Linked DNA regions of Drosophila melanogaster. The gene in region 2 interacts genetically with the main gene of each other region. Each region holds a gene or a part of one and is shown on either strand. Other genes may lie near its edges.

What was found.
Region 1: of Antp (region 2) and Gug, changing one suppresses a phenotype caused by changing the other (phenotypic suppression), as found in Drosophila melanogaster (one study listed by BioGRID).
Region 3: of Antp (region 2) and hth, changing one suppresses a phenotype caused by changing the other (phenotypic suppression), as found in Drosophila melanogaster (one study listed by BioGRID).
Region 4: of Antp (region 2) and osa, changing one suppresses a phenotype caused by changing the other (phenotypic suppression), as found in Drosophila melanogaster (2 studies listed by BioGRID).

What each region holds. Positions count from the first base shown.
Region 1 is NT_037436.4:8,446,591-8,454,357, reverse strand, and holds the start of Gug (grunge), read right to left. Parts: upstream 4,437-7,767; 5' UTR 3,901-4,436; intron 3,711-3,900; exon of another isoform or gene 3,671-3,710; intron 2,584-3,670; 5' UTR 2,230-2,583; intron 1-2,229. Other genes in the region: CG6983 (uncharacterized protein), read left to right, coding at 5,173-5,209.
Region 2 is NT_033777.3:6,995,221-7,002,839, forward strand, and holds the start of Antp (antennapedia), read right to left. Parts: upstream 4,009-7,619; 5' UTR 2,986-4,008; intron 1-2,985. UniProt on the Drosophila melanogaster protein: Sequence-specific transcription factor which is part of a developmental regulatory system that regulates segmental identity in the mesothorax. Provides cells with specific positional identities on the anterior-posterior axis.
Region 3 is NT_033777.3:10,609,406-10,617,229, forward strand, and holds the start of hth (homothorax), read right to left. Parts: upstream 4,872-7,824; 5' UTR 3,595-4,871; coding exon 3,580-3,594; intron 1-3,579. UniProt on the Drosophila melanogaster protein: All isoforms are required for patterning of the embryonic cuticle. Acts with exd to delimit the eye field and prevent inappropriate eye development.
Region 4 is NT_033777.3:17,712,445-17,720,052, forward strand, and holds the start of osa (osa), read right to left. Parts: upstream 5,907-7,608; 5' UTR 5,512-5,906; intron 4,491-5,511; 5' UTR 4,323-4,490; coding exon 3,408-4,322; intron 1-3,407. Other genes in the region: Pxt (Peroxinectin-like), read left to right, coding at 7,127-7,292, 7,587-7,608. UniProt on the Drosophila melanogaster protein: Trithorax group (trxG) protein required for embryonic segmentation, development of the notum and wing margin, and photoreceptor differentiation. Required for the activation of genes such as Antp, Ubx and Eve.

The DNA.
Region 1 (7,767 bases), on a different chromosome or scaffold from region 2:
TTCTCACCCATTTGGGCCTGTTCATTGATTTTACACTGATTAACACGAGCTTAAATTATTCATATTTTTTTTTTTGTTCCCGCTTTATAAATAACGCATAAATAATAATAATAATACGCTGAAATGCAGCCAAGCCACAAATACATCACTCTCGGAATTGTATATTTTAATAAGCAGTCTGTGTGTGCTAATTATCTTATCGCTAAATGGAGTTAACACGTAACAGAAACAGTAACTGGGATTGATTTAGCACCGCGAGTGTTTGACTAACGATGTCATCGTGAGGGAGAAGGGTTTTTTTTTATATATATATTGTTGAGGCTTTTTGAGTTTTAATTAATTAACCCTGCTTTACTTTGATTTCTTTGGAATGAGATCTTAATGAAACACCCAGTCTAATAATCACTTTAGTCCTTTCGCGCTTTAAAAAAAACGTAACATATGCTAGAAACGACACCTAAAATCGCAAAATACATTCGAAGCTATCAAAAGGTTAAACAATTTGTCTAATGTTGACACTTCCATTGACCAATTACCACCGAACGAGCTTATCTCACGTACACACCACTAGGTCCAAGGTTTAGCTTTGTTCGTGGGGATGGCTTAGATCAGGCCGCTTGGCTGCCCAGTCAGCAATGCTAATTAAATCGGTTATGTAATTGGACAGAGCACAGAGCGAGAACTCCGAGGCTGAATGAGGAAAACCTTCCGTTTACTTCTAATCGACATCAATAAATCGACACACTCGAGTCAAGTGTGCGCGGATAGACGGACGGACTTTTCAATCAGATAAGCAGCACTTATAAATTAAAAGCGCAACAAAACAGATTAATAAAGTTAAACTTTAACGGCACATTATAAATAAGCCAAATGACTAATAATAAAATATGAAAGCGCGCACAAAACCCCGACATCAAAGGCGACCAGCAACTGTGTAACATACCAGAGATACAAAAAAAAAGAAATAAAAGCCAAACACAAAATATAAAACCGTACCAAAACCAGAGGAGCCGGAAAACCGCGAGGGAACTCATCCATTTCCCAACAGCACTTTTGTTTTTTTTTTTTTTTTTTGGTATTTGTGTTTCTGAAATATTCGTGTTATTTGTGCGCCTTAAGTTTCCGTTGGCGGCACTCGTCTTGCCTTTTTATTAAATGCATTATTAGCACGTTATTTATTAATTAAACACTCCAGCCTTTTAATGCGTCTCTAATCAGATGGCCTCGCCGCCGCACTCTTCGTGGATTTTGGGTTGGTGGGTGCAGATAAGCGGGCGTGCCGGGCAAATGGAAATGTGGAAATGGGCAGGGTGTGGGTTTCGAAGATAAGCAAGGCGGCAAGCGGTGCAAATTGTCTGGGAATTTCCTTGAAATCAATCTCCGTTTTCCAAGAACTAACTGCCTCGAATTTCACTTGGCTAAAAGCAAGTTAAACCATGGCACTTCATTGGAAGAGATAAAGAGATCCGTAAATCCCCCATGAACAATGCGTAAAATTGCGTATCATATGACCTGGTAATCCCTCATTAGCTCTGATTTAATCCTGCACCATATTGCTTGTATAACAAGTGACCTACAATAGCTACAATACAAATTAATCTATTTAACTAGATGTGGCCATAAAACGATGACACTATAAATACAAAATGGCAGCTAATCAATATTATCTTTATTTAAATTGATAAACATATAGAGGACAACCAAAACTAGTTTTGATAGATTCATATAGTTATTAACAAGTGGAATATTTTCCAACAATGCGCTAAAGAGTTTCTAAACTGTCTGATCCCGGTCAACCCTTTTTTTTTTCATTCCGAACAAGGGTGTACTAATTGGCCTACAAGGCAACTCATTAGCAGTATACAAGTGCGGCGATAAAGATCTGTTTCAGTGGGTTTAGGGTATGTGTAAGCCTTATCATCGATCTAATCGCAATTCCCCCTAAATACCACCAGCCCACAAAATGAACACCACAAATCCGAATATGAGCGACAATAGCAAAGCAACGGATTAGGGGCACGCGCCCCCCGGTTTTCTAATTGCTTTGGGATACCATTGGAAAATAGTTTCCTCCATTAGCCGAGTGGAAACCCTTCGGCACAATGAACAAGCAACCCCATCGAGGGGATGTGACACATGAGACGGGGGCCAGCGTGAAGTATCGAATTAAGCAAACAAATAATTATAATTAAATGTGTGCGCCGGGCTCGAACAGATGTCTTGGCTCACCATGAATCCGTAGTCGGGGTTGTGTATCGTCGAGGCGTCCCGCACGAAGATGCTCCTCTCTCCAGCAGCAGGCGGCAAAGTAACTCCGGTCTACGGTCTCCGTCTCCAGATTCCAGACTCCAAGTTGCTGAGGATGATGATGATGATGACGACGATGGTGATGTGGTGCTGTGTCGATGGATTTTCAAAGGGGGTGGGCGGCGGTCGTGGTGGTTCTTGTTGCTTTGCTCCTGTTGTTCTTGATATTGTTGTTCCTGCTGTTGTTATTGGTGTTGTTGTTTTTGTAGTTGTTGCTCAGCGAGGAGGCAGCGAGTAGCCGGAAATGTATATTTCGGTTAATTTGCACAAACACAGCTGGAAGGCGAAGAGATGACGTAGGTGAGAGCCGAGACGATGGAGATGATTAAGCGAAAGAAAAAGAAAATGAAAGAACCAAACAGAAGAATTGAGCAGCTGGGGCGCAAGGAGCGCCCTGCGAAAAAACAATGCCCCACTAGCGATACTACTACCAAAAGCAGTCGCCAAATGAGGCCATAGAACTTGGCAATTTTATACGTTAGCTATTTGCATAGCATAGTTGAAATCCTATGTACCTGGTTTTGAGTTGAGAACTTTTAATTACATAATAATGTGACCCATATTCTTTGATCCTTTCCTTATTAAATTTTATAAACAATGTAAACCAGGCAGACCTATGTTCAAAACATCTGTAATAATAATAATCAATCTATCTATCTATTTGGACTGTATAATATTGAATAACAATAGCTATCAGAAAATCTTTAGTACCAAGATGACATATCTAAGTAAGTCGTAGTAGTCCATATCAATAGTACTATTAGTACGGGGAATAACGCCAGTTATAGCGATATTTTTTATAATCTATTGCCAATAAATACAATTCCAAACACTTCTCTAGCATTAATAGTGGGTAAGTACATATTTTAGCTTATTTATCAGCCAGCAAAAAGGCAACAAGACACATTTTTCCGACAACGTCAGCAACAGCAATTGACTGAGTGGAAGAAGAAGAAGAAGAAGCACGGCCAGCAGGAGCGGTCACAGGAACAGGGAAGGGCGGTGTGGGGGGGGGGGGGCTTTACAGGAATGGGGTTAGTCCGAGGCAGGAGCATCCTTGGGGGGTGGTGGGTGCGCTGGCCGCAAGAGCGTCGCGTTGCGTCGCGTCGGTGGTGACGCCGACGATAACAACAACAACAACAACAATAACAAAGGGGCAACAACGGTGGTGGGTTGCTGCTGTTGTTGCTTGGCCTGTTTTTGTTGTTTTAGTTGCTGCCCGTGCTGCTGACGCTTGGATTTTTGCTTTGTTGTTGCTGCTGCTGCGCTTGCGATTCCTTTTCAGCAAATTTGTTGAGCCTTCGTTCGTGTTTGCATTGTTCTACCCCAAAAAGTTCATAATAGACTGGATTCAAACACCCACCCATCCGTCGGTCACCCTTTCAAAAACTGCGGGGGGGGGGGGGGGGATACGCCACTGTTTTCTCTGTTTTACTGTTTTTCGTTATTTTTTTGTTTTTTGTTTTTTGCTGCCCGAAAGACTTCACATAAATTTGAATGATTTGCACGCTGCGCAACTGCGATTCCAAATTAAATTAGTGACACACTTAGTAATAATTAATTTTCGCACACTTGTTGTAGATTTTTCCTTACGTTTCGCTGCTTGCTTGTTGTTGCTTTTTTTTTTATTGCTGCCGCTGCTGCCAAGTGTTGTTGGATTTTGTTGTTGTTGCTGTTGCTGCTTTCTGGTGTTTTTGTTGTTGGGCGCGCGTGAAACTCGTCGTACGCTTTTTTTTAATGCTCTTCTTCGTTTCTCTTCTTCTTTTTTTGCATACACTTTGCGCACACACACACTGACAGAGAGGCACACTCGCACACACAGGCACAGACAGAGAGCAGCGCACACAGACGTACACTCGAACACACACACACACAGGCACGCACTTTGGTTGCTTGCTTGCGTTTTTTTTATTGCCTGCCTTCGCTTTCAGTTATTTTCACTGGGTTCTTGTGCGATTTTCGGTTGCTTTTTCGCGGAATTTTCAGCCACACGGCGCAGCCAGCGTGGTTGCGAATGTTTTCGCCAGCAAATTACAATAATTGGCTGGCCAAGATGCGTGCTTTTTGTTAAAAATCGCCACTACGAATTTCTCCGCGAAGAAGCCACCATTTTGTAAAAATATATACTTTGCGGGGTCTGGCAAGGCTGGCGGTGGCAGAGTGGCAGCATTGCTGGTGGTCATGTGCTAAATAAGCCAGCAATTGTTGTGTAGCCAACAGCTTTCGTTGGTGAGCACTCGTAAGTTTGTCTTTTGAAATGGTAATTTATTTGTTTAAACAAGACTTAAAAACTTCTAAAGCATATGTTAAAAAAATAAATGATATATATTTAAACATTAATATATGGCTAACAGCTGTGTTTCAGATTTTCTATGAAATTTAATACGATGAAAGTTGGAGTTTAATTGGTTAACAGTCGATCTATATTAACAGTTTGTCGCAGCATATTGTGGGCTTACTTTAAAAATAAATTGCTTAATTTTCGTCCTAATAGGCGAAAAATTCGATTCCACAAACTTATATTTAATTTTTAAAAATCCAACTGATTGTAAAATATCCCTATTGTAAATTAACATTTCTGTTAGAACAGTGAACAAAAGCGCCATTTCGGCAGAAGCGACTATCGACTCTGCGCCTAACATCGATAGCCACAAGAAATCTACCGACGCACCACCACTATTGTTTATTTTGTTTTTCGTCGTTTTTGGATTCTGATTTAAATCACCTCGCTGCGAAAATCGGGAAATTCTAAAGAAGCGCGTCGTCTGTTTAAATTCTGAGGGTTCGCAAAATCGCTGGCATTTAACACTACCACCAAAAAAAAACCAAAACAAATCAAGAGCTGCGAATCTACGGATCCTCAAAATGTGCGACGAGTCCATTGAAAATGTGGAGCATCAAGGTAAAAATTAGTAACTCCGATTCCCGATGTTATTTGCCCAACTCATTTGTTTGGCCATTAAGTAGCGCCCAATATTTGCATAGAAACCAGCTCAAGTGCGTTAAAATATCATTAGGAAAAGGCGGCGGTGGGGGGTGTAGATTCTTTGGTTGATGGTAAAAAAAGGGTAAGTGGGGGTAATTGCGCGTGGATTTTGGCGATTAATTCGGTTTAATTGGAACAGAAAGAATGAAAAGAGTGAGCTAAATTTAGGCAAGTCAGGCCACTCGAGGGAATCGCTTGTTGTTTGCTGACCTTTTCTGCAAATCAGGACAGCTGCACTTCTTAGCGCAGAAACCAACATGCAGCTGGGAATGCACTGAAAAAAAGTGGGGGAAATAAGTCTGATTATATATGTGATACATTAAAAGTGTAACTTTGAGTGAGTAAGCGTAAGAGTAAGTGTATGTGTGCACGAGTGTTTTGGCCATTTCCTTCCCGTTCACTTCACACATTCGATTTCCGCCAATTGTTGTTCTTTGACCTCTTCTTCCTGCTTTTCTGTCGCAATATTAAAAATAATATTTGTTCATGGCCATAGCTAAGCCAATTTCGACCACCTACCGCCCACTTTTGTTGGCCACCGCAATCGATGGTTTTCCATTTTCCATTTTTACCATTTCGCCGACTTTGTCGCCATTCGCGTGACTTCAATGGGTTTCGCTTATCGCTTTTCAAACGGCGCTCGACCCGAGTTTTTATCAGCCTGTTGCAGCCTGCTTAAATTGTCTTAGATTAATTTTAATTTATGATCTCCTGACAGAAGTTAATGAATTGTGGCCAGCAAGCAGCGTATGGAAAACGAAAATAGTTTTCATTTCGCGCTTCACACACTTTCTTCATCAATTAGCGGCTATCAGAATTTTTTTTTTTTTTGTTTTTGAGCGGCAGTTTCAAGTGGCAGTTATATTCGATCCATTTTGGTGAATAATAAAATTATTGCGAAAGCAAACACGAAATGCTTAAACGTGATTAACAGATCTTTAGAATTATTATACTATTGTTTTTTTATTATTATTATTTTTTGCTTACCTAATGTGCATGTTTGTTTGTATAGTACTTAATAAATTTGTTTCTCCTTACGCTTATCGCCTAGAAATGCAAATTGTGAGTTAAAGCTTTTTATTGTTTGCCCAGCGTTTTCATGGGCAATGCTAATTGTAAGTTTATTTGGCGCCCGCCCCAAGAATTAGATATCCAACACCCCAGAGATAAAAAACAACAACAACGAATGGGGCTGATTAAATTGCATTTACCGCCAGCGGAGGTTTCCATTGTGGTAGTCACTATTTTTTTTATTGTTATGTATTCTATAAAGTGATATGCAATTGTGCAATCCTCATGTGGCGGGCTATTTATAGACTCGTTGGGAAACCTGCGGGCACGTTGTTTTTGTTGCATGAGGTAGCAATGCTGGGGATGCTATTGCCACGCCTCCGCTCCCGGGTGGCCATCCAACGCCCACAAGGCGTTCGTTATTGATATTTGTCTTGTTGGTGTTTCAATTGTTTTGATTCGAGAGGGATTCTGAAATACATAACTTACAATACTGTTATGCATGTTTGCAGTTCGTTCTCGTTTTTGCATTTGCATTTTGCATATGGCATTTTATATATTCTATAGTCGATTTGGCACGTACGGCGATTGGTGGCCTTTTTATGGCATCCCCCCAACTGGGGGTAGCAACTGCATTAGTATTAGTTAGGGGGCAGACACACAAGCACACCGTCCAGCAATAAAAGTATATGAACATTTGAATTTGGCGGCTCGAAATTATATAATTCATCGTGTGAGGGTGTTGAAAGCTGGACAAATTGGGCGGACATGACTAAGAACACACTTAATATGGAACTTTTATGGTTTCCTGTTTCTAAAATTGTTGAAAAGATGGTGAATAAAGCTGGTTATAAATAGAAAAAACATATAATTAGCACCAGACCTTCTAAAAACCTTACTAAACTCGAATGAATTTTTAAATGCCATCTCATTATAGATCGATATATTCAAAACTCGCTAGAAACATTAGAGTATGCATGGTTTATGGCGTATGAAAAGTTGGTTTCTTGGCTTGTCTAGACCCATTTTCCATGCTTTAATTTCGAGTAAACGAACCAATTGAGCTATATAGAGAAAGCCAACGAGAATTCAATTGGTGGACAATCTGTCAGATATGCATCAGATAATTTATCTCTATACAAAAACTCTGTGTGCCGTAAAGAAATCCCGAAAAAAAAACGTGCCATTGCTCAAATTTGAATTTGAATTTGAATAGCAATGGCAGTTGATTGTGAATTTCCATTAATGGTTAATCAATGGTGATTGGAGGGCACGTGAGACTGCTTTTTTCAGTCAGCCAGATTTTTAAGTGAGCCGCATGATCGCCAAGTGAGAATTATAGGAAGACCGAATGACATTGGCATTGTGAAAATGCTGCCTTCATTGTTGTGGCGGCTTTAAGCAGATTAAGCTGGATTACAATAAATTGCTTACATACTGCGAAGCGGCCAAGGAGCAACCGG
Region 2 (7,619 bases):
TTTTTTAGTTTTCGAGTTTTGAGTTTTTGCGTTCCTTGTCGCGTATCTCTTGGCCATAAATCATTGTCACCCGCTTCGGCGCAATGTCACTGCGAGCGCTTCCCGCTGGGTTTCTGGCCCCCGACCCTGCACCCTCCGCGGTTCCCTGCACCTCACCCCGATTTTCGTCCCTGTTTTCCTACCACGAACCTATAAAAACAAGTATATATAAAACAGTTCGAGCCGCTGACTGCATTTGGGCTAAAAAATAAAATAGTAAGACTTTCTCCCATTTGTTCCCTTTTTTCCGTGGCCAAAACTAATTGCAGTCACTGCAAATTGCCGCCCAACAAAATTGGATTGAGTTTTAGTTGGCTTTGACCGCCGATTTTGTCCGATTTTCAGCAGTTACATCTATTTCTCTTTTTCAAGAATAACTTTTTTTCACAGTTGTAATGGAAGCCAGTGTATTTAAATTCCGAAAATATAAATATATTTTAAATAATTTATTTAATTTAAAACAGTTGACTGCTTCTCTTTTTTATAATGTTATTATTTGTATTTTATGGAAGTATGGAAGTAAATTGGATGTGTAAATTGTATATGTAAATGTGTCGCAAGAAACTTTTGTAATCTATATCAATAATGGATTGTTAAATAAAAGTAAAATTTAAGTAATAACGTAAGCACAGTCTTGATAAATACTTTTCAGAGAAAGCAATTAATGCCAAGTTTGTAGTCCCATTGGTAAAACGATAAACAAATTACACAAGGTTCATCATTTCCGGCGGCTTATCAAAGTTCAGTTCCCGAGGGCCTTAAAATGTTGTGGACCCGATGAAGTCGATAATATTTTTGGTGATTTGAAAATGAAAAAAAAAACGCTGTTTTTGCCGTTTCTGGTCCTTTGTTTGTCTAGAGACTTTATTGTGTGAAATTTAGGTTTTTATTTGAGCGGTTTTTGTTTTATTTAAATTTACTGAGCTTGCATATGATTAATTAACCGACTCATGTCGCCATCTATCAATGGGGGCTTAAATATAATTTTAATTTCAAAGGCAAGTCAAACAAGTTTTCTTTGTGGTGGTCGGCTGTTTTCGTTGAAGCTTTTTGTTGGATTCGTTTTATTAACAACAATTTCGTTTACTTTTGTTGCTAAGTTTTGGGCTTTCGGCCGAATCTCAGAGGTCGTGATTAATGTTTTTACAAAAGAGTTGTCGCCATTGGTGTGCTGATGTATAAATCTTTTTGCTGCTTTGCCATGAGTGTGAACTTGATTAAGAATCCGTTTAAAAGGAAGTGGTTGCTCATGTATAAGGGTCTAAATATGTTAGTAAAGAATTGTAGGACTTAAACAAAAATAGTCTAGGGAAATGTGCGTTTTCATACAAATTTTGAATATTTTCCCCCCATTTCTCCCAATTGCATCGGTGTTTTTTCTGTCTGTCACTCGGCCATAAATCATAAAAGTTTTTGCCGGGCAAACAGAACGGAGTTTATGATTTTGTCAGCTGTGTAACATTTCCAGCTGATAAAATCAATAAATTATGAGAAAATAATTTCATTTGATGCCATCTATTTGATTTTGCAAAAATCGAAGCTGGCAAAAATGCAAATGGAAATGTGTTAACGATAAGCAGGCTGAAAGTAAAAGCCAGGATAAGTTCATTAAAGCCCTTTTGGACAGATCGCTAGAGATACTTTCCAAATTATGGAACAGATTTTTAAATGTTTATTAAATTACGAATAAATTCCGCACCTCTGTGGGGCGCAAGTGCAATGAGAGAGCGGGAATGGAGAAAGAGAGAAAGGTAAAAGGTAGCGAGCGACAGACAGAGAGGACGACAAATATGCAAAGGCCAGACAACTAGGACAACAACAAAATCAGCAACAACAAGGACAATGCACTGCAACAATGGCCGCATAAATTTTCTATGCGGAGAACCCGAGAGTGTCCTGTTCGTCCAACTATGTGCGTGTGTGTGTGTGTGTGTATGAATGTGTTTGCGTGTGTGTCTGAGAGAGAAATGGCTGCCCTTTCCCACCATTCGGAAGTGAAACTATGTTGCCCAGGATATGCGCAATAATTCAAAAACGAATTCCAAGTTCAAAGAGCCCATTACTCGTGGCCAGTTAAGTTCGGAGCTCCGTTTTCAGTTTTCCAGCTTCAACTCCCGGGATTCCTGAAAGCATCCCACCACCCCTCCTCCCACTTTGCAAATTTATGCAAATGGCTAATAAGCCTGTCAACAGTTTGCAGTTTGCAGGCCAAATGAGTGATGACCTGGCTGTAGCTTCCGAAAAACGCCCTTTGAGTTATGAAGTGTTGAATCTGAGTTCGGGCAAAAAACTTATACCTTGCCCACTGCACATCGAGAAACAGATGCGCTATTCTTTGTACAGAGTCATTAATGTCAAAACTTCCACATATTTAGACAAGTATTTGGAAATGTATAAAGTTTCCGTCGGCATATACATAGACTGATATTCTAATCCATGTAAGCTTCATTGAAATGATTGATTTTATTCAAACATTTAATGGACAGCTAATAGTAACATAATATACTTATGTCAACCATTTTTTCAAAAATAATGTTAAGAGAACCTCACAATCATTTTTGTTTAAAAATTATATATAATTTTTAGTGACAATCGAATAATTCTTTGACGGTATGCATAGATGACATTACATTACATGTACAATTACCTTTGCAATTATTTAACAATATTGATTTTTTACTACAATTTAAAGTTAAGATTTTTTCTTCACTTTCAGTTACGATTATTATTAAATTGAATATTTGAAATAGTTTGGATAGGCAGAAATAACATAAAATTTGTAGTAAAATATAATTATAATCAATTTAAGCATTGTTTTCAAAACGCATTAACCATTTTTGTGAATAAAGACATTTTAATCCCAATTGGCCAATAAAAGAAACATATAACCATTTTGATTTCAGTGAAGAAGGTGAGGAAATTGAAAAGTCGAGCCCTGGCACTTACCTCTTAAATCCAATAACGTGCGCTTATCCTTCAATCCTGCTGGCTTTTGGAATTCTCAGCTAACGGTAGCTTGCACGTGCGCCAAAATAAAAAGTTTGCCCGCAGTGGAATCGAAACTTTTTCCGCTCCTTATTCTTTTCCGTTTTATGTATTTTGTTTTTTATTATTTATTTTTTTTTTGTGTTATTTTGGCTGTCTACGTTTTATTTCTGTTGAATTTGTTGTGGTTTGAGTTGAAAGCTTCAGCTTTTGTTTGTTGCTAGTGTGTAGATATTGCTCGATTTACGGGGGACTAGAAAACGTTGTTGTACAGATTCGAGTTTTCGGTGCACGATGCGTTTTTAAGAATAGATAAACACTTAGGTAGTAGGATTTGGCTTGATAAATTTGAACTCTAGCTCATTTGCAGCACAGTCAGCCCAGATCCATTAGTAGTATTGCACAATATGTGGATGAATTTTAATTTGAATCCAGACACCTGCCAGACACTCGAACATCATAAAAAGAAACGCGCGCGAAGTTCAATTCCAATTTCTCTGACGGTGTTTTTGTTTGCTGTTTATGCGATGGCGCCTGCGATTACAATTACGATTACGGTTACGATTACGGTTATTATTATAATAATGGGTTTATGACGATCTGCGCCATGCGATGGACAGTGTGCGACTGATTGCGGTTCTAATTTTTTACGATTATTGTTATGATTATTTTTACGGCCTTTATGATCTTAGCGGGCTGACAATTGGGATAAGAGAGCGGTCGCGACGACGGAGAGCGAGCGAATACGAATGCGAATAGTTCAGTTCAGTTTAGTTCAGTTCAGTTCAGCTCCGAGAGCCCAGCCCCAAGATATTGGCCGCTATAGCGACTACGGAATACGGGGCACCGAATACCGTTATGCTGCTGGGATCCCTCTCGCACACACACACATACAGTCGCACGTGGGCTAAGTCAACGGAACACGGACGGGTCCTCGAGTGCTTTGTTGTGTGATGTTGATTTCTTTACGACTCCTATCAAACTAAACCCATAAAGCATTCAATTCAAAGCATATACATGTGAAAATCCCAGCGAGAACTCCTTATTAATCCAGCGCAGTCGGCGGCGGCGGCGCGCAGTCAGCGGTGGCAGCGCAGTATATAAATAAAGTCTTATAAGAAACTCGTGAGCGAAAGAGAGCGTTTTATTTATGTGCGTCAGCGTCGGCCGCAACAGCGCCGTCAGCACTGGCAGCGACTGCGACCGCGACAGAGGTCCGATTCTGCTTCTGCTCCGGTCATAAAGTATTTTGCAAAAGAACCGTTCTGCTCTCGTTGCCATTTTGAGTGACTGAGAGAGCTGAGCGAGTGGGAGCAGCGAATTGGCGCCTGACTTGAGTTGACCGGCTTGAGTTGCCGGCCCGAGCTCGCTGAGCTGCAAACTGTAGTCAGTCTTCAAAAGAAGATCTTATGATGCACATCCAGTTATTTTCGATTATTCAGTTCCCAGATTTATTTTGGTTGGTATATTTGATTTCACTTTTTTATTAGGTTTTTAAGAAATTTGTTTCATTCATTTTGGTTTATTAAATACAATTTTTTGCAAGGTTCAATTTTAAGTTTCTTTCTCTTAAGTGCTCTTTTCAGTTTCTCTAAAATCGAAACTATTTAAAATTCGATTGTCTGGGCATTATCGAGTAGTTTCTACTTTTATTTCGAAGAGCGATTACTATATCTTTATAACTTAATATCTTTATACCTTTTTAACCATTCTTCTGGACTATATGGTCAATCAATTCATTTGCTTTTAATTTCTTAAAATAGCGTAACGATGTGAAAGATGTGTACATCTTCAGTTTACTTGTTTTTAAATTTTTGCGGTCAAATCTACCATTTTGTGGGAGACCACCTTCTATAAAATCAATTAAAATAATTGTACAATTTACAAATACGGTTCTCTAAAGGCCTTGTGTTGACTTTTTAGTTTTTAAAGTATCAATCCGTCGATTACTTCAGACTGAATCATTAATTTACAAACTCATTTATTTATTTATTTTACCAGTGAAAATAATCTAAAATAGGGTTTTGCAATGGAAAGGTCGAAAGTTTCTGTTTGCCTATTATGTAAAATAATTGTAAATTGTTATGCTGCTTAAGTACTTATAAGAGTAAAAAACGTTTTTGATTTCGATTGTCTCGATTTTTTATCTTTTTTAGATGTTCTTAATTAACGCTTATAGATATGGTATATAAACGTATAAACGTATCTTTTAATAATTATTTTTGTAAATATACCACAACCATACATAATTAACAGTTTTGTATAGCAAATGTGATTTGCCCGATGAAGTCATATCTAGACGTTTTGATATCTCATTATCGGCTAACATTCGATAATCGGGAGAATGATGGCCGCCGTGAATTATGGAACCCGGAATACGGTACTTGGAACCGGGGAGTATGGCATCCAAACATCCACTTGCCGACGGCAAAACCATCATGGCCGAGTTTATATCGAAGCGCGCCAACAACAAATCACATGCACGCACACATGCAGGCCATCACTCACACGCACACAATCACAATTCAGCATCGCTCTCACTCTCTCTCTTTCTCCTACGCTCTCGCTCTCCCACAGCTGTTGTGGAGCGGAAAAAGAACAACAACACAAGTTGGCCGAATTTTTGCAGCCGCTGCTTCTGCTTGCGGCGCTGCCAGCGTCGTAAACAGGGAGGAGTCCGCCACAGACGCACACTCATAAAGCATTCTCAGAGACCGCACACACACAAGCGCGGCACACAAACGCACAAGATGGATGGCGGCGCAGGCAGAGAGCGAGAGTGCGAGCGAGAGGGGCAGACGCGGGTGCGAGCGAGACGGCCAGATGCGGCCGCGTTAAGTGTGACGAATGTGCCATTATTTTGCTTTATGTGTGTCGTGAGCGCGCCGCACTGCTCTTTTTTCAATTGCCATTTCTCACATAAATTTACGCAGTCGTCGGCTGCTCTGCTGACGGCGCTGCCAGTGAGCTCCAGTTGAGAATTTTTGCCTTTCTGAGTGCGGAGAATTCTCTTGGTGGAACAGTGGTGCTGAAAATTCCAGTTGGAACTGCAAGTTCGCCAGCGGCAAAAATTCTACCGGATGTTAATGCAATTTTTGAAATGTCGTACTTGCTTGGAGTCTCCATTATGGGTGTTTTATGGCGTTCTTTGGTATATTCAAATATATTTTTACTGAAACAAAAAATTTAAAATGTAGTCATCACCTAATTGAATTTTAATGGGGTTCCAATTATATGAGTTTATCAAAGCAAATTAAGCTGTTTTCATAACGCTATTTAATAATAATCACATCAGAAAAGCATTCAGACTTAAACTTGTTAAAGAAGGCTTCATGAAAATCTCATATTGCATAATTATTTAATAATGTGAAATTAACATAATGTATTTTTGTATAATAGTTACCATTACTCGTAGAGTAAAAGGGTAGACTAGATTCGTTGAAACGTATGAACCAGGTATAGGGAAGCGTTTCCGACCATAACAAATTGACGATCACTTTCTGAGCCGAGCTGACCATGTCCCTCTGTCTATTCAACTGTCCATATCTGTCCGTATGAACATCGTGATTTCGGTAACTAAAAAATCTATAAAGTTAAGATTTAGTATGCGGATTCATGAACATTTAAGAAATAATTTTTATTAATTTTCTCACAAACCTCCAAAAACATTAAAATATTTGACAATAAAACCTGTCTATATACACTTTTAAATTATGTATTCAATATTTATACGTATTTACATAAATAAAATTACTTTGTGAACGTACCTTTGATATATCAAAGTTAAGCCGAACCCCAAAAAATTTTACACTCAATTATGTAGCGGCAATAAATATCATGAAAACGGATGAATCGGTTTTAAAAGCATACTTGGCGCCCCACTCCGGACACCACCCATTCCAATTGGGATGGGCAACAGTCCCGCTTTAGCTCCTGCCCTCCCCACAGAAAGAAAGGTCCCATGGATGCTGTCCGTACGCATCGCTGCTCTTTGACAACTGTGCGACTCTAAATCATTCAATTCGGGTCCAGGATCAGGCCCAAAACCAGACCCGGTCTCAGCTGGAATCGAGTGCCTCCTTGCATTTGGGTCCTTTTTCCGTCCCCGTGGGTCGGCGTCGTGTTTGTGTGTGGCGTTCACCTTGGGAAATATTTTCACATGCCGCCGCCACAGACAACTCGCCCCCAAGCCTGCGTTTCCGCTCCAGCAAACTGAGCCAAGAACCTATCGAATAGGATATACCATGTACCTACAAAGACCATCTTTATTATTTCATTTTACAACCATTATAAGTTCATTTAAAAAAGAAATTTAGAAATACTCTGAGAAAGCAAATTAATTTTCAGTTACCCTATATTTTTTTCTTCATATGACCCAGGCAACTGTGTATTCTTTTAAAAAATTCCGTTTTTGATTATTATCAAAATAATGGAATAAGGAACATTTATATTTCTTTCTATATAAATAAATTCTTCTCAATACTCGCTAATATCAATTATAAATAAAAACATTTTCTGTGTAGTTACAATACCCCAGTGCTAAGCTACCTTTGAACAACCCTTTTAAGGGGTACACTCCCCTTCAGCAACAACTG
Region 3 (7,824 bases), 3.6 Mb from region 2:
TTGAAATTTAAATTGACGGAAAATGGCGGAAAAGGCAGTATGGCATGCAAATAAAATAAACTTGTGTTTAAATGGAATTAAACGAATATGTCTCGAGTTAATTGATTATATTATATTTATAATGACGAATGGAATATGCAAGTAGAAGAAAATATACTCTCAGTAATTGTTTTATTGGCCTAAATTAACTATCTGATTCCCAACTTCTCGGCTATTTAATTAAATTGCTGAAGACAAGGACTTGGCCAAGTTTGCTAACAAAATTTCTGGCCCAAAGAAACAAAAGTCTTTTGGAGTTTGGCATTTTTGCCGGGGCCAAAAGTTACTCAAAAATACGAAAATAAATTGCGTGCTGATGGCTCATTTAATTTAATGAGCGGCGTGCAACTTGTCTAAATGATTTTTCCTCTACTTTACAACACATTTTTTCTTCACATTTTTGTCTGTACACTTTTTCCGTTTCAGTCCCTCGTTTTTTTTTCTTTTCTTTTTATAAAGATGGAGAAAAGAGTTCACCACCAGCAAAAATAGTAATTCCACTTTATTCGATGAATATTAGCAAAACACTTTGACTTAATGTTTGGGGAAATTACGGCAAACGAAAAACGGGCAGCGATATTTAAAAAACTTTTAAGCGTAAATGCAAAAAGAAATGAAACTAATGAAAACACTTTCAACGGCAGCCAGCGACCTCGTCAAACTTGGCAACTATGTGTGTGCTGTAGTAAGCCAGAGAGGCCGGGAAAAAATAAGTAAAATAATAATACTACTCTATAGGCTATAACAACAAAGGCAACAACTATATAGCACCAGCAGGCACCGACCCAAGAATCAGGCACGCAATTTGATCATTAAACATGAAGCTCTTTAGCACACGAAAAACAACATCGGTGGAAAGTGGGAGAAGTGGAGGCCCCATATAGAGTCTTATGACCCCCTCCCCCTGCGCACCCCTTGCAGAAATATGCATATGTAATTTGTTTATAAATATTCCTCTCAGCCTGACGCTTCCTATTCGCTCAATTTTCGCTGGCATGTGAAGCGTCTGCCGAGCGGATTCTCAACCGAAAGCCAAGATATATCTGAAATCTCCTGATAAACGGGGGGTCGTGGCAAAGGGGGTAAGTGGGGAGCCCATGAGTCATGCGGTGAGGCTGGGAAGACTGGAGAATTGCTCACTTAATTAGAAAAGAATTCGCGACGAAGGTTGGTCGCTGGCAAAGATTAAACTATTGCAATATGATAAGGACTAGGCGGGAAAAAATATTACTATACTTTGCTGACGAATGTTATTTTGTAACATAGGGAATTTCAAATTCAATTTATTGTTATTAATGGAATGAGTTCAGCAGTTGGTATATTTGAAAGTACACATTTCAGCGGACCATTGTTATATACTGATAATATATACATATATAACTAGAATTTTTTTCCTGGCTCAACAAAAAAAATGTTTTAGTTTGCCACCTAAGTCGAATTCCGAATGTTTCCATCAACTTTTGCAAATGCTGCTGGCCACTAAAGTAAACCACAGAATCGACTGTGGCATTTTCCGCTGCTCCGCTCTCCTTGATCTTTTCTATTTTGATTTTGATTTTATTTCTAAAGCGAACGAGAAATACAAAAAATAGCTGAACAAACACAGTGGGAGAGGCGAGCACACGATAGACGAATTATATTTTATGCCACAAATTACGCTGCGGTTAACCTTTAAATTAAAATAACACCAAAACAATTTTTGTGCTGCATTTCGCAGGCGTTTGAAATGGCACACGAACTGAAAAATGGTGGGAAAAGTGAGGGGGCGCGGGGGAGAATGGCAGCAGCTGCAATGCACATTTTTATACAAATTGCAATTGCACATTTTTTTTTTTTGCACATTTTACACGGCCGCTCTTTCTCACTGTTTCTCTCGTTTGCTCTCCGTTTCGATGGCATAAAATAATCAAATTAAATATATATAAAAATGCATGTGCAGTTTGGTTTGAGAAGAACCCGCGAAAATTGCTTCCCGCCATTTTTCGCAAATTATAGCAGCGCAAAGTCATGGAAAATGGTAAAAATAAAATTGTAAATAATAAAACCACGAAGCGGCATAAACTGAATGGATCGCTTTTGGGCCGCTGGCAATGTGCAAAATGTGCAATAAAATTATATGCATCAAATGCACACAAACAGACAGAACACCCGTATATATTCACATACTCGTACATACATACATATATCTCTCGCCCCGAGTCGAAAAATTCATTTGATGGAATTGAAATGGCGCGATTCGGGTAAAGAGCCGCAGGAGAATTACGAAAAAGGGGATTCAAAGAGGTAAATTCGGCACAGAATCGGGTATTAAACCACAGGCGTAAATTTATTCGCCAGTAACGCAGACACACACAAAATTCCCGCGGGCATTTCTTTTTTCCCATCTCCATTTCCATTTCCATATCCATTTTTATTTTTTATATTTCTTTCTGATTTTTTTAATGCTCCCAAAGAGCATGGCCCACCTTTTGGTAACACACACACACACACACACGCTAATTGGTAGCACACACACAGGCAAACGGCCATGTTTGAGGTCTTTTTGCTCCGTTAAATAAAAATCAAGTTCACTTCGCATGTCCATGATAATCAATTGATAAAGTCTAACTGCGATTTGGTAATAATATTTTTTTGAAGAGCGGGCGAGCGGAGACTGCCGGTCACCTGATTAGCATATAATTTACGATCCAGATGGATTGTAAAAATTATTACTCCGTTTAAAAAGCGAGGCGAGAATTTATGCCTTATAAACGTGATGGAAAATGGTGGAATCATTGTGGCTATGCAACGGGGGGGCTTTTCGGAGGTGAAGGTCCCAGCCATGTTTAAACAAAAATCGAATCAACTATTGCGGTGTGAAAATGAAAAGTTAAGGGGAAAAGCTAACAATTTTCAATAAACATTATTTAATGATTTTCTAGAGTAAACCGTTGTTTAATGTAATACAATATCTATCACTATTTCGGCGATCTTTGATTTCCATCACTTCCCAAATAAAATGGTCTAGCTGCAGACTCAGTTAATTATATAAACTTGTACCAGAAAATGACCCGCATAAATCAAATGTGATTTCTGTCCTATTCCAATACACATAAGCACACACACACACACACACTCAGAAACGCTTAGTTAAAATTCATTTTGATAGGGCTCTAATAAACAAGAACTATTCCCCATTGAATTGATTGTAATGGGTTAAATTGGAGAAGCTTGGAGGCCATGTATAAGAAATATTTATATAGATCTACTTCATGAAGTTGGATTAACTAATATCTGAAGATTTTTAAAACTTTTTGCGTATTCTGGTTATAGATTGATTTGGTTACACTGGTAACATATCCATGATATGAAAACTGTTACAATATCATCATAAACTACAACCTGTAAGTGCCGTCGGCACCACTTGACTTGATTACAAATTGACTGAACCCCATTTGTTTTTTAGCCGTCGGAACTTGTTTAAGGATAACAACACTCTCGGGGGACCATTCTATATGGATTCTATATATTTAGAAAGTGAACTTTGGTGGATCTACTTACCCTGGGCTGAGCCATTAATGCTCTGGGAGCGACGTCTAACCCGATTTGTGCCACTTTTTACAGTAGGAACAACAAATGGGGGCGCAACACACTGACCGACGTCCCGCTCCGCCGCTGCAACTGCTTCGGTTTTAGGGAAGCTCTACTGTAGCTGCCCGTGTGGAGTCCTTAGATTTACTCTTGGCTTTTCCAGTTCTTCAGTTTTGGATGTTATTTTCTTGGATTTTTATATATGTTTTGCACTTTTTTCATGTATTGGGAAGCCTTTGCTTTTTGAACGCTTTGCTTCTTGATTTTGCTTTCTTTTTTTTTAACACAGGCACATTTGTTTAGATTTTATGTATTATTATTACGTTTGTATACTTGTTGTATTGTTGATGTTGTCGTTTTTGTTACGCGCGCGTTTGTTGTTTGTTTTCTAGAGCGGGAGATCTGGTTTTGAATGTTTTTTTTACTTGTGTGTTTGTTATAATAATTATTTACATAGCATTTGTTTGGTTTATAAAAATCGTATACAATTTGTTGTTGGTTGCCGTTGCAGTTGTTGTTGTTGATGTTCTTGGTATACTCGTGTATTGTAGTAGTTGCTGCAACATCATTTGTTACTGGGTTGCATTTGTTGTTGTCATAAATCCATGGCGTTTTTTCCCTTTTCCTCTCTCTCTCGTTTTGCGAGTTTCCTTGCCTTTTCCTTGGTTATTTTTATAGTAGTAGTTGTGGTTGCTTTTAATTTTTATTTGTTTGTCGTATACTCTTTTTGCTTTTTTCGTATAATATGCGCACTATTTATCACAGCTGCTTCTACATACTACGTTACTAGAGATGAACAAATTATATTGTTAATATATAATGCAATATATTCTGTTGTGTTTTTGCGACGGCAATTTGCGTGTTTCTTTGTTTTTGCGGGGGGATCGGCGGGATCCCCTCGTTGAAAGAAATTCCCTCCGCGGCCCTCAAATAACAGTATTTATTTTGGCCTTCAATTGTGAAAAGGAGAACTTTTCGATTGTGATTGAAAAACACACTAAAAAACGTGATTGTTTTGTTCGCGCGATGGAAAAACGCGCGCGATTTCCAAAGTGTTTCTTGTGTTGTTTATTTGTTGATTGATGGCAAAACGCGTGGTTAACGGGCAATAATAATAATCATAATAATAATAAACTTCACCGACGGCAACACTTTTTCGCTTTTCTTCTCTTTTTTATTCGAACGCAACGCAACACAGACACACGTCGTACGCGCTTCGCAGTCAAAAATACACTGTGCGGATGAAAGATATTTCATCGAAAAACCAACCCGCCAGATACGTTTGAATTTACGCTACAGTCGGACGTGTTTCCACTCCTAACATCGCTGTTAACTAACAGCGAAGAGAGCGCTGAGCGACAAACAACAGCAAAGTCAACGGGTGCAAGCGGTGCGGCATGATTGTCAATCATGCAGCTGCCCCGCTCTGTTCAGATGCAACAATTGTGCCATTAACTCGCTCTTGGCCATAACTCAGCGAGTGCAAGCGAGAGGAATATATGGTTTATGCGAACGCTCCGGCGAATTGCCTGCGCAGGCGCGCTCGCATCCTGGGCGACGATGACTGATTTGTTGGTACGCCTCTTCTGTCATACACACACTTGTCATTCACATGCATATACAGTACCGTACAGCGGTGTTCTATCTCTTTCTCTTTCTCAGTTTTCGCCTCTTTTTGCGCAATGTTCGCCGCGTTTGAAATTTATTTGGCTTTGGCCAAAAGGAGACGGCTTATGGGTTTTTCGCCCCTCTGCCGGCGTCGGCGTCGAAAATCAGCAAAAACCAATCCCATTTGTTATTTTCGCTTGAGTGAGTGGCAGTTGGCAGCTTGGCTCTTTTTCGCCGCACCTTTACAGGTTGAAAGGCAGCGAGAAAGCTTCAGTTGTCCATCAGCTTCAGCTTTCGCTCACTTTTCGCTCTCTTTTGGCGCCCCCACACACACTCGCACACACACACTTTTGCCCGAATAGGCAACGCCTTCGAAGAAAAGCGGCAAAAAAGAGAAGAAACTTGAAGGAGAAGAAGAAGAAACGTGGACGACAAAAACAAACTTTTCGCTGCAGTTCCTTTATTGCGTCCTTTTGGCTTGTAACGGTGATCTGGCCACTTTGGAAGGATATGCGATCCTGACAACAACAAACAGCTGTTCGAGTTTCTCCTCTCTCTCTCTTTCTTACTTCTTGGGGAACAACAACAAATGGAACGGCGATAAATTGTCAAAAACATTCGCTGAAAATTGCATATTTTGCAGGTCATTCTGCGCTCCTGTTTGGCGAATCTACTCTCATTTGGTTTTTTATATACCCTGTACAAATGGTGTTACATCTCAAACCAAAAATAAAAAATTGAGGAAACGGGCTTTTGCATTATTTGAACAAGTTTTTTGATGACAAGTATGTTTGGGCAATTTTCAGTCAATTGTGATATCTTCGGCGTGATTGTACAAATTTTTTTTTACATTTTAAACTAAAATAAATTAGTCCAATTTGTTTTACCAATAACTACAGGGTAACAAGGTATGCCAATCTTCGTATTCAGTCCGAAATCCTGTCTATTGTTGCTGTTATTGTTACTGTCGTGTCGTCGTCCTCGTGGCAGTTTAAAAAGCAGTTAACACATATTCCCAGGCCATTTTTCACCAGCGTATTTTTGGCTTGGCGCTGCAGTTGCCATTACGCCGAAAGAGACGGGGATACTGGCGAGCGAGAGAGACGGGGCGATTTGGCCGGCGTTTTTAGGAAAATGAAAAATAGCCTTGTTTGTTTTCCGACGCTCGCCAAAAGGATTTCCCGTGTCTGTTTTCGCTGGTCAAAAAGATGATGTTGCACTTAATCTGGTTGCCATTTCATCCCGAAATCCCAAACCCCCAAAATCTTGGGAACTATGTATGATATAGGTGCTCTGTTTCTGCGTCTTGTCAACACTTTGACAAATTTATGAGACTTTGATTGATTTGCGGTTGCTTTTTCCCTTTTTTCGTTTCGGGACTCGCTTTCTTTTGGCTTTTTCAGACGTCCAACTTTTGTGCGTCTGCTCGGGCCAAAAGCCAAGTAATTTATGTGAAACAAAAATCACATAAAATCGAATCAATTAAGTGCAATAAATTAGTGAAACGCTTAAGTGTGGGAACTTTTCAGACTTATCGGTGACCAAGTTAAATTCGAATAGATCGATCGACGCGGTAGCAAAGTTCAAGGATCCCAACGAAATGTTAGACAAATGAAGTTTATTTGTTTAAGAAAACTCGAGGTTTTCTGAGAAGCGCTAATTGAGGAATAGAATATACTTAGTTCGTAGAATAATACTGAGTGAAAAAATGTTTTCAGATGAAATTTAATAAGAACAGATAACTTAAATTTCGAAGAATGCAAATAAAGCGGACAGCTCCAGAAAAGCTCAAGAATTTTTGCAAATGAAGCAGGAATTTAATTTAATATTTAGAACTTTGCCAAATTGAAGGGACCATGAAATTTAAATCACCGAAAAAGGAAAATAATCAAGAAGCGAGAAGAGCGAACGGTGGGGGGGGGGGTGTACAAAAGGAGGGGCAGGAAGCGAATTTAGGGGGCTGGGCCTCCACCCAGTGAGCGAAAAAAAAATGAAAGAAGAAAGCCGAAAAGGAACCGACTCGGGAAAACCTCAAGGAAAATTGCATTTGGAAACTTCCAATCCCAGACGAGCGAAAGAGAGGGCAGAGAGGGAAAGCTTACCCATACACGTGCACTCACACCAATTGGGGGGCCAGCCAATATGATTTAAACACTCACGCACGCACACACACAGGCACACACTTGCGAACACCTACAGTGATGTTAACGCCGGCAGTGCAGTCGGCGTCGCCGTCGACGCCGGCAGAGAAGTGTGTGTTGTGTGCATGACAATTCATCTCTTTCTTATAAACGCAATTTATCAAACGCAAACGACGAGCGACAGCAAAAGATGAAGACGACGACACGATATCAACTTGATGTGGCGCCATCTCGCTTGCTCCCGCTCACTCACTCAAGCAAGAACCGAAACAGAAAGCCAAAAACAAAAAAATGGCACATGAAGAAAAATAGGAGTTGCCGTCGGCGCTCTTCTTCTTCTTCGCCGTCGCTGCGAAATACGAAAAAAAAACATCGAACACACAGAAACAGCAACAAAGTGACTGAAACCGCCATAATCTTGACAGACAAGTGCACGCGCTCTTTTCGCCGCGCTTTTAATGGTTTG
Region 4 (7,608 bases), about 11 Mb from region 2:
ATACAAGCAGGCCAACCCATACATGCGAAGAAACGGCATAAACAAGCCGGCACACAGACATCAACTCTCTCGAAATAAAAAAAACACAAAGCGCCGGAGGAGGTGGAGGTAGAGTCGGAAGAGGGCCAAACAGGAACAACAAAGACACAAACGAAAAGAGCGGTTAATGCAATGCCTTTTGCCTTTCCCCAAAAAATAACAAACATGAAGGGGAAGTACCACCAAAAAAAAAAGAGGCGGAAAAGAGGCCTTTAAGCTCTTTAATATATGCCCAAAAGTGTTGTTGCCCGCCTTGCACCTGTTGACCTCAAAGGAGAATCAAACGGAACGTCAAGGATGTATGGGGAGCATAACGGGATGCATCTAGCACACTTGCACTCGAAGAAAGAGAGGGGTAGAGTGAGTGAGCCAAGGCATGTCATCATAGTCGAGCCCTCCTCCCCCCCCTTCCACTTCTACACCTCCACCTCCTCTCTTTTGACTGTGCGCGGTTTCACTTGATTTTCATTTTTATTTTGTTTTGGTTTCTGCTTCCTCCACAGCTTGCCGGCTAACCCCACCTCCACCACCGTCCCTTCTTCTTCTGCTTCTCCTACCCCAAAACAGAGAGAGGGAGGGAGAATCAGCTGTGACAACAACAAGTTTCTCTGTTATTGCCTTTGATTACGGTGCCTACTTGGCCATTGTTGTTGTTGCTACTGCTGCTGCTGCCGTTTCGGTTGTACCGATGTATGTTTGATACGTAAGTATGTATGCGAGTATATGTATTTATTGCATGCACGCGTAAGTCACACTCTGCCGGCAATTTGATTTCTTTGTTTATGCACACAAGCCCGCCGAGCGAGGCAAACAATCAAACAAACACATGACATTGGATAGCAGCGCTTCTAGACTCTTTTTCAGCCTTTTTTTTTTATTTCGCACTAGCTACCTACACATAGAGACACACCAACACTGAGCCATAAACAAAAGCTCTCGAAGGTCGCATCACATCGCATCGCATCGCACCGCATCGCACACGTCTAACCCTAGCGGATCGCTTTGATTTGTGTGCTCACACATAGATTTGTTTATATTTCTCTGTCTAATCGTCGACATAAAAGTTCGTTGACTCCCATTCCGAGACATCGCATCTACATCCGCACCACACCACACCAAACCAAACCATTCATGAAGTACAAAAACAATCGATCCTACTGCAGTGACATCAAATATGCCAGAAGCAGGCAGACCGATGACTACATAGACACGGAATCGGGCCACAAATATGAGTTTGTTGGGCTGCGGCGGGTTAGCCCCCTAACTACCACACTACCCCACTAATAAAACAATTAACCGGTTTCCGTTTAATTCAAAACGTGAAAAAATCATATCACGTGCTTCTCCATTGGGGCCAACAAACCAAGCAAACCAAACCAAACACCAACTTCAAGCGCATTATCGCTTGACACAACTGATAGGCAAATTCTTGATATCAGGGATTACAAAGAGTAAAACACAAAACGAACTGTGAAAAAAATCTACAGGTACTACAAGTTCATAACCAACCAAAAACATTATATTTCTGTTTATCCATTAAAACGTATAAGGTGTGGGTTGTGGGTCGGTGTGTCCATTAGTTAAATTGTATAGGATTGTATGTTTTCACACGAGCGACTTTTTACGGTATCTTTATGTTCCGTATAACACTTTTTTACATTCGCTTTTAATACTATGGAGTTATATCGACTGATAAAAATGGCTTGACTCATTACTATATTACTGTTTGATATATGTTTTTTGTTGTCTATAATTATAGTCATGTCAAGAAAACAGTAAGAAATAACTACTTCATTAACTGTGTAACAAACCCCTTTCCATCTTTTGCAAGTTTTGAGTAGTAGTATCCACTTCTTTCTTTTAACGTTTAACACTAACAATGCAATGATAAGCTTTAAAATTATTCCAATCAGACACGAGGCCAACAGGCCGTCGATAATGTTGACATGAAGGGGACAGGAAACCCTAAAAACCCTAAAGAATGTGAATGAATACCTCAACATTTTTGTGTACGAAACTCTTTCTTGTTATTCCGCTGCTTCTTCTTCTTTGTCTTCTTATTTTACCGTTGCGGTGCGGCCTTTTGTTGTTATTGTTTTGCGGCGGCAAGTGCCGGTTCTCTGCTGTCCGTCTCCCTCACTCTCACCCGGCTTCGCCCAGTAACAACAACTAAAGCACAACAACACCCGGCACTTAAACAGCGAATTTTCAAGGGGATGGGGGTATCTACAGGAGGAGGAGGAGCAGGGAACTAAGTGGGAGGGGCGGGCGAAAAAGGCGCGGAATCTGAGTACAATGTTTTTACGTTATGTGTGTCAGTGTGTCTGCCGCTTCTGCCCCTTTTTTATATTCTTTCCTTCGAGTGGGACTTGGCAAATCCTCAGTGAACTGAATGAAGTGCGACCAAGACGAAACCCTAAAAAGTAACAGTAAATATTGCAGCCTCCCTCCCACGCACACACACATACACACACACTCCCAAACGAATACATGTGCACAAAACGTGACGAGCCCCTCTCCATGGAATGAGTGGGCAGTGGGTGTGTGGAGTGCGGTGGGGTAGGAGATTGGGGGAGGGAGATAGCTAGCACAAAGCCACCAGCGACAACCGCACCAACAACAGCATGAAACACATGCCGTGGAGGCCTGCACATGGAAATACTCCAGTAAGTAAGTGTGTGTGGGTTTGGGGTCGATGGAATCAAAATCAGTGTCAATGTCAAGACAGCTCTAAAATAAAAAAAAAATACATAAGGAAACCCCTGGCGATAAGATTCTTGGTATTCAGTCTTTAAGAGGTTGCCTTTAGGCACAATGACACCATTTCTGGTGCAACAACTAGATCATTTAATATTCTTTTCGGAAAATGGTTATTTTGTTACAGAATACACAACATTTATTGTGTCCTTTTCATTAAGTTTCTATCCTGGAAGGCGTTTAAGCTACCATCCAGTTTTTCGTTACTTTAAAGCCGAAGGTTGCCCCCGCAATATTGAGAATAAATATGAAATAAGATACTATAACTTGAAAAGACAACCGCATTTTCTATTTTCGGAAGCTGTGAATTAAAACGAATCATAAAAACACTGCTTTTGGTAAATACTTCAAGGCATTCCTAAACAACGTATTACACCGGAACAAAGTATTTACAACTATTTCAAGTTCGGAGACTATTTAAGCCGAATACTCTTGACTTTTAGATGTATCTTCCACAATATCTTGTATCTACAGAACTTTCAAACATTTTTATGGACTTGCAATGATTTCTCGTGAACGCAACTAAATATACCTTTCAATTTACAACTTTTCTATCCCAAAAAAGCATGTTATCCTTGTTATCCCCAAATATCCCCTTTTTGATCACTTACCGGTGGTGGTGTCCTGTACTGCTGTGACGGTCCCAGTTGCGGACTGTAGGGCCTTGGTGGCGGTGCCCAGCCGCCCTGTTGCCCTCCGTACGGCGATGGCTGGTGCTGCGGTGGCGGCGGTCCATGTCCTGGTGGAGGGGGTCCACCGGCCTGCTGTTGCTGAGCCGCCGCTGCCGCTGCCGCCGAAGCGGCCGCCTGCTGGGGATCGTAGGTGTTGGCGTAGCGATGCTGCGGCGGAGGCGGCGGATTCGAGGACTGAAGCAGAGAGTTTAACGTTGGCGTGGGTCCCTGCGGAGGCTGACCGGGTATGTAGCGCTGCTGGGGCGGACGATTAGGTGAGCCACCGGGCCCCGGTTGCTGCGGGGGTTGCTGTTGAGGATGTGGCTGTTGTTGTTGTGGAGGCTTTCCACCTGGCAGCGGCTGGCCATAGCGATATGGATCCATGTTGGGATCGGCGTGGTAGCGACCATACGCCGGATGTGGATGAGGCGGCGGCAAGTGAGTGTACTCCTCCTTGACACCGGGCGCATGCTCAGGTGCTCCTCCGGGCGGTGGTGGTGCAGGTCCGCCGTGGTGCTGCTGTTGCTGCATATGGGGTGGTGGCGGATGCTGCTGTTGCTGCTGGTGCAGATGATGATAGTGCATGACTGCAGCTGGGTCCGGTCCTGGTGGTCCTCCAGGACCAGATCCTGGGGGCGGTGGTGCGCCGTATGGATGTGGGGCAACATTTTGTTGTTGCTGCTGGATGCTGGGATCGCTACCGTTGTTGCTGTTGTTGTTGGGTGTGGGCGGGCCCGAGGTTGGCGGTGTAGCGGCACCAGGAGCCGCTCCAGCCGATGGGGGCGTGGCAGCAGGGGCGGGAGCGCCACCTTGCTGCTGCTGCTGTGTTTGCGGCGACTTTATTTTCTCATTCATGGCTGCTCATCGGCTTCTGGCTGCGCTGCTCCCGATCTCCCAGATTTTCCGGATCGGATTTTCCCAGATGTGTGGCGGCTACTGATGGAACACCGGTAACCACCAACAACAACAACGCTGACGCTGATGATGACGACGACTGCAGCGGCGAGTTTGAGGTTATGTTAGCTGCAAGTTATCAAAAACGGGGGATTAGCATTTGGCAAAGGGGGTCTGGCTTATTAAAGGGGGCAGTCCTATATCACTGGGCCTAAATCGAGCGGGTTAAACATAAATAATTTGTACTCGTTCGTGGGCTGTTGTGTATTGAAAAGTCCGCTACTAACACACGCACACACATGCTCACTCGAACAGGCAGCACCAATACCACAACAATTTATTTTCCGCCGCGTACGGTGGGCAAATCGTAGTGCGTTGACAACCCTGCCGCAACCGCTCTCGCAGTTTGAGCGCATCCACTCTCGTTGGCGCTCTCGCTCTCTCTTTTCACATTTGGCGGCTATACACGCACACGCCGTATCCCTTTCCGTCTCACTTGCACTTGCTCGCCATCCAGGCTGAAGGCATATGGCGCTCTCGCTCGCTCGCTCACTCTCTCCCTTGCTCGCTTTATTAGTTTCTGTGTGAAACGAATGAAACGGGCAGCACAGTAATGATTTTTTCGTAATTATTTTCTATGCCGATTTTTCGCGTTTACACAGCACTGGAATGGAATGGACGAGGGGGCATCATCTCACAATTGTTTAACTTATTTTCTTTTCGTGAGTGGGAGAGAGAGGGGGGCTAACGCTTAAGATTTATAAATAATTGCCGCGCCTGCTTGGCCGCGTTTGTTGCGCGTTCACTTTTGGCCGCTGCCGTTGTCTTGAGAGGCTCTCTTTTTTTGTTCGGCTGCTTGCGTTTTCCTGCGGTTTTTCGCCAAGTGTTTATGAAGATGATGATGATGCAAGGATTCGACATCCAATCATTTGCATATGTATACACACACGCACTCACTCGCACACACACTCACACAGCCTCCAAAGTGCATCGTCGAGAGGAGAGAAACTGAATTTTTCACTCGCCCTCGGGCGAAAGTCCGGCGGCAGATTTGTTGTTGGGCCAAGAAGACTCAATATATATTTTGCGGGGCGCTTTGGTTTTTGGGGCTTTTCTTAACCAGAAATCTACATACACGCACACCACTTACACATAGAAGAATATTCACGCATTGACGACCGTCCACAGACTGGCTATATATACTAAAAACGAACTCGCGTGAGAAGACAGGGACAGGGCAGCAAACTCGGTATACGAACGGAACGAAATGAAACGATTCAAGTAGTAGTGTATGCAAGTCTTGTCTGTCTGCGCCTGGCGTTCTTTTCTCTTCTTTTTTTCGATGGTTTTTCGCCAGGCTGGGCGCTGCCAAAACGCTGATACGGCGGCCACAATCACACGCGGCTAATCGCCAGTTGGGCCCTGCACAGGCTGCACATACTTTTCACTATTAATGCGCTGTATTTCACTTATTTTTCGAACAAATTCGCAGCATGACGAAGAAGCGAGCCTGTACAAGATTAGAGCGGGTAGCACGCACGATAGTATCGATACGTACGAGTATTTGGCACTGCGATACATTATCGGTGCTCGTTTCGATAGCCCCCGATAGCTCTAGCACGAAATTTTATCGCTTTATCCATATTTTATACTATTTTTATTTATTGGACTTCAATGAATATTTATTTTACGTTCTGGTTCGCTTTTTAAATATATATGGTAATCAATAGCTGGCGAATTAGCGATATTTGAGTGTGACGCAAAAATGAGTTGGCATCGATATCGATTTCTCGCTACTCTGGGACGCCATCTTTATTGCGGTATTTTAAACGGAAACTTAACTCAAATTAAACGGCGTGCTAAAATTTTCCATTTTTTTCGAATAAAAGCACGTAAAAGTTTGTGAAGATGTAAAAGTTATAAAAACTAGAAAGCCTTATTCGTGGCCAGCGCTTTCGTTTTAGAAATACGTCAATTTAAAGTTTTTAAGGTAAATTGCAAAATTGCAATAATTGCAATAATATAATAATAATAAAATTTTGGTAAGTTATAAGAGAGTAAATACAATTTTGAAAGTTTATACCCCCGTTAACAAACCACTTGAATTTAGAGTGGCAGAACTATGCAACTACAGCGAGTTTAAACATCGATATATTCGTGATTTTTGGTTTGCTTATTATCGATTCCATACAAAACTACCGGCATAAGCAATTTTAAAATAGACGTAAACAACATCAACGTAATTAATCCACAAAAACAAATTCTTTTATTAATTTTAATTGATGCAATACATTTTAATTTTTGTGAAACTCTAAATATCAATAGTCGCCCTATGCATTGATCATTGTCACAAACATTGTTAAAATTTATTAAATTTATTTTGGTAGAACACTAGGTTTTCGATTTACTGGCTTCCGGATTTTTACTCATAGGTTTTAAAAATATTTTTTGCCAAGGATATCAACTAAAAAAATATTTGTTTATTTTTTTATAATATTAATGAAATTCTATATTGAACATTTTTATTTTTTGAACTGCTTGCACAATTTGCTAATAAGAGAAGTTGCGCTTAACAGTAAAATGTTACTGACATTAACAGCACACGTACGAGAATTACAGTACACTGCTTTCGACTTGCTGTGATATCGAGCATTCCTGGTATCGAGTGCAAAATGGCGGCATTTTAAGTTCAATTTAACACGATTAGGTTGAGCTTGTCGATTCTTTTTTAAGTATAAGCCAACAAATGTTTCATTAAACGCATAATGAGTCGCATTTTATTTATTTTGTTGCTACTTATTGTGACGCAACTGAGCGAGTTGCAGGCGGCAGCATTTTCTGTGCGCCAAAATCGTTTTGATGAAGTTCCTGATTTGCAGACTCCTGCACCTCTGGCCACTTCCACTGAATCTTCTAAGAAACCCGAAAAAGGTTGGTTACATATGTACGTTTAGTGATATAAATTGAATATCTCGGCAATTTCAAAATGGCGTAAAGGGTGAAAGTGTTCTTGTCCGCTCTCTGTGAATATAAGTTACGGTTAATCGCTCTACACTGAAAACAACTGCATAAAAAACTTTCATATTTACATAATTAACAAAATCAAATTTTTGTAAAATTAAATACAATATAATATAAAAGTATAATTGTTTCTTCAATTTTAAAATTATATTTTTATGGTTATTTTTATTTCGTAAATTGTACAAATTTGGTCTTTCTGTGTAGCTACCAGTGGTCTGCTGAAAAA